2 linked regions of the Xenopus tropicalis genome follow. The protein of the gene in region 2 purifies or fractionates together with the protein of the main gene of each other region. This does not show direct contact. Links are inferred from orthologs where the notes say so. Each region holds a gene or a part of one and is shown on either strand. Other genes may lie near its edges.

Region 1 (3,266 bases), on a different chromosome or scaffold from region 2:
CAATATTGCATAAGTCCTAAAGCTGGCTTGCTATTTTTAAAGCCTGCACCTAGATTGCAACATTCATTCAATTTTTTTTTTCCTCTCTTTAGGGAAGGATCTTAATGGGAACAAGGTGAAAGTGTCATTGGCTCGCAAAAAGTCTTTGCTAGGTAGCATGAGAGGGGGGTCACTTTTACGTGACAACAGAGGACAGCCGCCACCTCTCCGTGGAGGTAGGAAATGATTGCTCCCCTTCTTAAAGAATCATCTTACCTTTTATGTGGTATATTGTATGTAGACTATACCTAATTTGTCAGGACTATGCTATGCACAATTTTACTTATTCAAATTGCAAAACTGTTCTTATTTAGGTCCCATGGGTCGCTTGGGTGGCCGAGGAGGGGAACGTGGGGGATTCATGCCAAGAGGGCCACGTGGGCCAAGAGGTAGTCCAGTTAGCGGTAATGTCCAGCACAGGGCTGGTGACTGGCAGTGCCCCAACCCGTAAGTATAATAGAGAAAATTTACTGTATTTTTCATTAAGGTAATAACAACATTATTTTGCATTGCATTTTGCATCAGTTAATAAAGCTTTTCCAGCAGAATCTGCTGGAGGGCAAACAGTTTTATTTTTAATTTTGAAATTTACTATGGCTAGCCATATTATTTTCCCAGGGTGCTACAGCCATGTGTCCTGTGCTCTGACAAACTTTGCACTTCACTGCTGAGCTGTAAGTTTGAGTAATCACACCCCCCCTCCCTTTTGCCCCCAGCAGCCGATCAGCAGAACAATGGGAACGGGGCAAGATCCCAGTAGATATCCGAATAGCACTCAATAGTAAGGAATCCAAGTCCTGCTTGGGACTCATTCAGTTACATAGGAATAGGAGAAACGATAGACCTATCTGAAAGCAGTTCTTATGTGTAGCGCTAGCTCTTTCTGGACTTGACACAATGCACTGAGATGGCTGCCTACACACCAATATTACAACACAACTAAAAATAAAAATTTGGTTCAAGAATACAGTTTTAAATGGTAGTGAATTATTTGCTGTGTAAACAGTGTAATTTAGAAATGAGAAGTACACCATAAAAATCATGACAGAAATGTGTCTAATTCAGTTTCTCTTTATTTTTAGCGGATGTGGAAACCAGAATTTTGCTTGGAGAACAGAATGCAACCAGTGCAAGGCTCCAAAGCCTGATGGCCCTTTCCCTCCTTTCCCACCCCAAGGTAAGGTTGGTTATAATGTTCCTTTTTGATATTGTGATAACATGATTTTTTCCCCATGGGAGTAATATTAAGTAAATCTCAAGTCTCGGACCGCCTGCTTTCTAGTTTGTCTAATGTTAGATAATGTTTTCCTGTCATGTTTCCTCTGGAAACATTTTGTTTTGGGCTAAAAAGATCACTTATTTCAGATGGAGTTTCCGGCTAGTTTTGGTTGTTAGGGCTATGGCACAGAGTTACTTGTAGCCAGCAACTTGGTGAGGCTGCAAAACGCCAGAAAATACCCTGCCCAAGACAATACAGAGAATTGTCTCTGCTAGAACGGTAATTTTGTAGCTTTGTGTCATTGCCCTAAAAGTTACAGGGTAAGTGCATACACAATAAATATGTAGTGTTCCAGGTATCTGTAATATATTGGTTATTCAGATTTTTTAAATCCTTCTTGCTAGTAACAAATAATAAGGGGCTATTCTGTTTTGCACCACCCTTAATTACATATCTAACTGAATTGCTACAATTGCAGGAGGAGAACGTGGAAGAGGTGGTCCAGGCATGAGAGGAGGCAGAGGCCTAATGGACCGTGGTGTGCCTGGTATGTTTAGAGGTGGTCGTGGAGGAGATAGAGGAGGCTTCAGAGGGCGTGGTATGGACAGAGGATTTGGAGGAGGAAGGAGAGGAGGACCTCCAGGTCCCCCTGGTCCACTCATGGAACAGCTTGGTGGAAGAATTGGTGGTGGAAGACGAGGTGGCCCCAGCAAAATGGATAAGTATGTTTTGTTGGGGGTTTTTTTGTATCTTATAATAACTGCATAACATGCACCCTGTAATATCCTACAAGCAACCTACTAAATGCAAACTTTTTTTTTTCCCCCCAGGAGTGAGCATCGCCAGGAACGAAGAGAGAGACCCTACTAGTTTCGGAGCCACCTTTACTACCAGATTTATTTTTTAAACCAGAAATGTTTTAAATTTATAATTCCATATTTATAATGCTGACATGAAGATCCTCCCTTCACTGTCACATTATGATTATTCTTTGTCTGTAACTTTAGTATTCACAATTTGTGGAGATATTAAAATGGAAATTTAATGGTAGTATTGCTGTCTTTTTGTTTTGCTTTTGTTTTTTTTACCTTCCTTTTGAGAGCAAACATAATTTTTAGCTTCTTTGCATGTGAAGGTTGATGGTTTTGAAGTCTTTGAATGAAAGCATGTGCATTATCTTGACAGAATCTATGGCTAGAGAAGATAGACCATACAAAACTGTTTTTATTTTTAGCAGGTGAATCTGTTTGGCCCCTGTCTTGGATCTTCAAATGGCTAATAATACCCTCTTATGCGACTGTGGATTTGTGTTTAACTTTTGTTTGTTTTTTGGGGAGGGGTGGGCTTGCTATTGGTGAGTATATTATTTTGTGGCCATTCTGTAAAAAATGGGGATTTATTTTATTTTTGTTTTAATATACTGGCTTGTGTTAATTTGTTGGACCCCACCCCATAATACTGTAATAAAATCTTGTTGAACCACTATTTTACAAATTGGAACTCCTCAATAAATGTAATTTTTAAATGGGTGGTTTTCATTATGGAAAACAGTTCTCTTCTCATCCATTGGCTAAAAAGTTTCCTACCATAAAGACCTAAAATATTAATTTGTCAATTTTGTAGTTATTTTTTTGTAATATTGATGCAAATCGCCAGTCAGTATGCAGTGCTGACATGAAACTGAGAAGCTGCTTTTACTGGTATAGTGCCCATTATCTGGAAACCAGTAACCCATACATTTACAGGAAGGCTATCTCCAATAGACTTGGTTATAATAAAATAGAAAAATTATTTCCCTTTTCTCTAATAATGAAACAGTACCTTGTACTTGATACCAACTAATATATAATCCTTATTAGAGGCAAAACAGTCCTATAGGGTTTAATGCTTAAATTATTTTTTAGTAAATTTAAGGTATGGAGATCCAAATTATGCAAAGACCCCATATCTGGGAAAACCCCAAGCACTAAGCATCTGGATAACAGGTCCCATACCTGTATTTAAAACA
Region 2 (3,831 bases):
GTGGTTGTAATGACACAATACGTCTGTGTGCCCTTTCTCTTTCCCATGTACTGCCACATGCTCTGTACACATTCTGTATCAAAAAAGCCTTGGAGGAAGACATCTCAAAAGAATTTTTAGTAATTTAAAAAAAAAAAAAAGCCAAGCAGAAGAGCAATTTAGAAGCAAAATGCAGCCAGACTGATGGTCAATACATAACATAAAAATGCCCCATTTGACCTTGACCTTAGAGATAGACACAGGGAATATTTATGCTTTAATGGTTTAATCTCCCCAGTATGCTCCCCAAAAGTCTGGAATTGGTTCCCCACCAACATGACAGTCCATAAGGACAGGATACTCACAATGGATCTTGAAGTCCTTATATTGTCTGTCTTCTATTGCAACGATATATAGGGCAGCTCGGTCAGGAAACATCAGCCCTCCAGGTTTCTGTTGATGAATTGTGGGGAAATTGGTCTTGTAATCAATTCACCTGACAAAGACATCACATTTTGAACTGCACGTATCAATGGCAGACAAGCACCCCCTGCATGCTTTCATTATTCTGTCACTCACAGTTTAATATCTGAATGGATAAATCCGCCTGCAGCCACACAGCTAGATATAAATGTCTGTCTAAATCAAAGCCATTGTCAGTTGAAGGAAAGCAGGGAGAAAAAAATGCTCTATGCTCTGACTATATTTGCCAGATAGATCGAGGGAGTATAGACTGAAAAATAGCCTTTTTTATTTAAAGGGCCACCTTACCTTAACATTTCTGCTGACTTAATACAGGGGAATCCCTATGCTGCCATAGTCTTATGGTATCTCTGTGTACAGGCTATGAGCAAACTGAGGGGGCTGTTCCTACTGAATTGTGCTTAGTACAGGGGAATCCCTATGGTGTTATAGTTTTATGGTATCTCTCTGTACAGGCTATGGGCAAACTTAGGGGGCTGTTCCTGCTGAATTGTGCTTAGTACAGGGGAATCCCTATGTGCCATAGTTTTATGGTATCTCTCTGTACAGGCTATGAGCAAACTTAGGGGGCTGTTCCTGCTGAATTGTGCTTAGTACAGGGGAATCCCTATGTGCCATAGTTTTATGGTATCTCTCTGTACAGGCTATGAGCAAACTTAGGGGGCTGTTCCTGCTGAATTGTGCTTAGTACAGGGGAATCCCTATGGTGCTATAGTTTTATGGTATCTCTCTGTAGAGGCTATGGGCAAACTTAGGGGGCTGTTCCTGCTGAATTGTGATTAGTACAGGGGAATACCTAAGCTGCCATAGTTTTATGGTATCTCTCTGTACAGGCTAACATCAAATAAATCAATATGAAAATAACATGCATGTAGCTGGTGAATGATTGTTATTGGCTTTAGCTATGTAACATGCAGAGAACCTACCAGCCACTTATCTCGTGCAAAGATGACCGTGTTAAGCATGGACTCATAGAACAAACAGTAGCCCATCCACTCGGTAATAATGATATCCACCTTATCCACTGGCAATTCCACCTCTTCAACTTTGCCTCTAAATATTGTAATTACTGGGGGGGGGGGGGAGAAATAACAAAAAAATATCTTTAATAAATCCTAAATTCATATTGTCTAAGTTTGATACCCTTTATAAACTTTCGAAATTGACCAAAAATGTCAGCCATCTTGCTCTTACATACAAAGGTTATTGTGCCATTTTGGGAACACTTTAATCAAATATGGGGAGGAAGGACAGACTTGCTAGGAAACTGTGCATAATGCTTCCAATTCAAAATGTAGGAACAATGAGTAAAGAAACAGATTTACGCAGATCAGCTGGGATTCCTACTGGAGTATTACTTTGCATGTTAATGCAGGTGCCAGCCCTGAAGAGCTGGGGAAAACTTTTATTCAGCAAAATAGCTTTAAAGATCCAACCTGGATATTGCTAGACTACAGCTCCCAGCACCCCTTAAGCTTGGGGTTTGTAGTCCAGCAAGTGTGGTTGAACCATGCAATGCAGTAGGGGTTGGTGTCCCTGTAAGGTTTTGCATTGCAGGAGGATGCCAGGACTGAGGATCTGACGTTGGGCAGAGGATATATTTAGAGTATGGCACATATGAAGCCTTACACCTCAGCTAAAAGCTTTCCAGCAGATAACAATGTGAGAAAGAAAGTGCGCAAAATATAAATGCAGGGAAAAAATAGTTGATATTAAAAATAAATTGAGCTGGAAAGGTGCATAATGTGAAAATAACACCTCCTCCTGCGTATGGCCCCCTCTGCCTCCTTCAGTATTATTTTCCAAATACATTTTCCATTTTATTTTCCTTAAATGTAGCAGCTGTAGGAGTCCCTCCTGCTGCCTATTGTTCTCTGCGCTCAATGCGGTTGGTATATTTATTGTCAAAGCACATTGATCTCTGTGATTATTCCGGCTCAGATGAAGGTTAGGAGGTTTTATTCCCCAAAGAACTGCTGAACCCTGGGCACCCCCTCACCCCACATACCAGCCCCCCAGGCACACACATCTTAGAAGCACAGAGCCTTATTGGAAGTTGACGTCTTTGGTACAGATTCACTAATGATTTATTAACAAAAATAACAAATTGATTAAATCAGGTCAATTCTGGATAAATTGTTTAAAATCATTTAAATTGTGATCAGCACCATAGGAAATGGCATAGATGCACACGTCTGACCTCAAGGTCATATAGGCCCACTGGGATACTGGGAAAAGTCCTGTTGTCCCGACACTTTGCCACCTGCCTGCAAGCTAGTCGCCCCAGCTCCACTACCTACTTGCTGCTGGCCATAACAGCAGAGCCAGAGTGGTGGTGGCTGAGGGCAGAGTAGAGAGCAGCAGTGGCAGGGTGGTGGGTCCTTGAACCCCAACTGTGCCTTCATTGGGGACCTTGAAATGCATATGTTACCACCCTGCAGCTTGTAGTAGCTTTGGGGTTGCTGCAGTGGCTTGCATCAATAGGGGCACCCTGTGTATCAGATGCAGATGCTTTGATACAACCAATGTTGTTTAACCTAGTCCATTTTAACACATGTTGCACATTCTTGGTGAACACAATTTGGTGTGTTTTTCCCATAAATCCAGGCCTGACTATGGGTAAAAACAAAATCCAAAAACTAATTTTTTGCAGCATTGCACTTTACTTATTGCATTTGCATTCATAGATGACCCCCATTGAATCCATGAAGGCTATGAATAGTGATAAATTAATTGAATGAACAGGCTAATTTGACCGATTGCCAGCCTTTGATACATCAGCCTGGGGGGGGGGCAGTCATGCAGTAACGCGCGGTTGCACATGAGCCTTTATATTTATGGCATTTATGTTCTTCTATTTAGGTAAAAGGGGACATACATTTTGCATTAAACTCTGCCATCTCCCATAGCAGGCAGAACACATTTAAGAGATCCACTGAATTATACATTATAATTATGTGTGAAAACTCAAAGTACAACATTATCTGCCAGTTGGTTTGACATTATACCTGACAGTTTATTTATGTGTGTACCAAGGCTCAGATGAGACTGTTATACCACCAGAGCATCTTCCAGTGCTAATGGACCCCACTCAAGGGTAATTCCCATTAGCCATTTTTTATGTTTGTCATGGGCCTATAATACTTAGGACTATATCTAAATGTTGTAAGATTTAGCCCTGTATGTCAGGTTTGCCAGATTAATATAATTCCTTTGATTTTTATGTTTACTTTATTTGCAGCTATCTTGTTATTAGTTATCATTCTCTGTGATAATATGAGTGAATTGGGGGCACAATGGTAAATTCTATCAAAGGTACTGTTTAAGTTTTTCAACAAGTCCTGTAGAGAACTAGGGGGCGTAGTGGGA

The links.
Region 1: the proteins of prmt8 (region 2) and ewsr1 purify together in Homo sapiens (affinity purification with mass spectrometry; 3 studies listed by BioGRID and IntAct, counting the BioPlex papers as one, with this or other methods). This does not show direct contact. The link is inferred for Xenopus tropicalis from reciprocal best matches to the Homo sapiens genes PRMT8 and EWSR1.

What each region holds. Positions count from the first base shown.
Region 1 is NC_030677.2:144,939,729-144,942,994, reverse strand, and holds the end of ewsr1 (RNA-binding protein EWS), read left to right. Parts: intron 1-92; coding exon 93-215; intron 216-353; coding exon 354-486; intron 487-1,121; coding exon 1,122-1,216; intron 1,217-1,736; coding exon 1,737-1,980; intron 1,981-2,088; coding exon 2,089-2,128; 3' UTR 2,129-2,741; downstream 2,742-3,266. UniProt on the Homo sapiens protein: Binds to ssRNA containing the consensus sequence 5'-AGGUAA-3'. Might normally function as a transcriptional repressor. EWS-fusion-proteins (EFPS) may play a role in the tumorigenic process.
Region 2 is NC_030679.2:14,584,200-14,588,030, forward strand, and holds part of prmt8 (protein arginine N-methyltransferase 8), read right to left. Parts: intron 1,532-3,831; coding exon 1,389-1,531; intron 433-1,388; coding exon 345-432; intron 1-344. UniProt on the Homo sapiens protein: S-adenosyl-L-methionine-dependent and membrane-associated arginine methyltransferase that can both catalyze the formation of omega-N monomethylarginine (MMA) and asymmetrical dimethylarginine (aDMA) in proteins such as NIFK, myelin basic protein, histone H4, H2A and H2A/H2B dimer.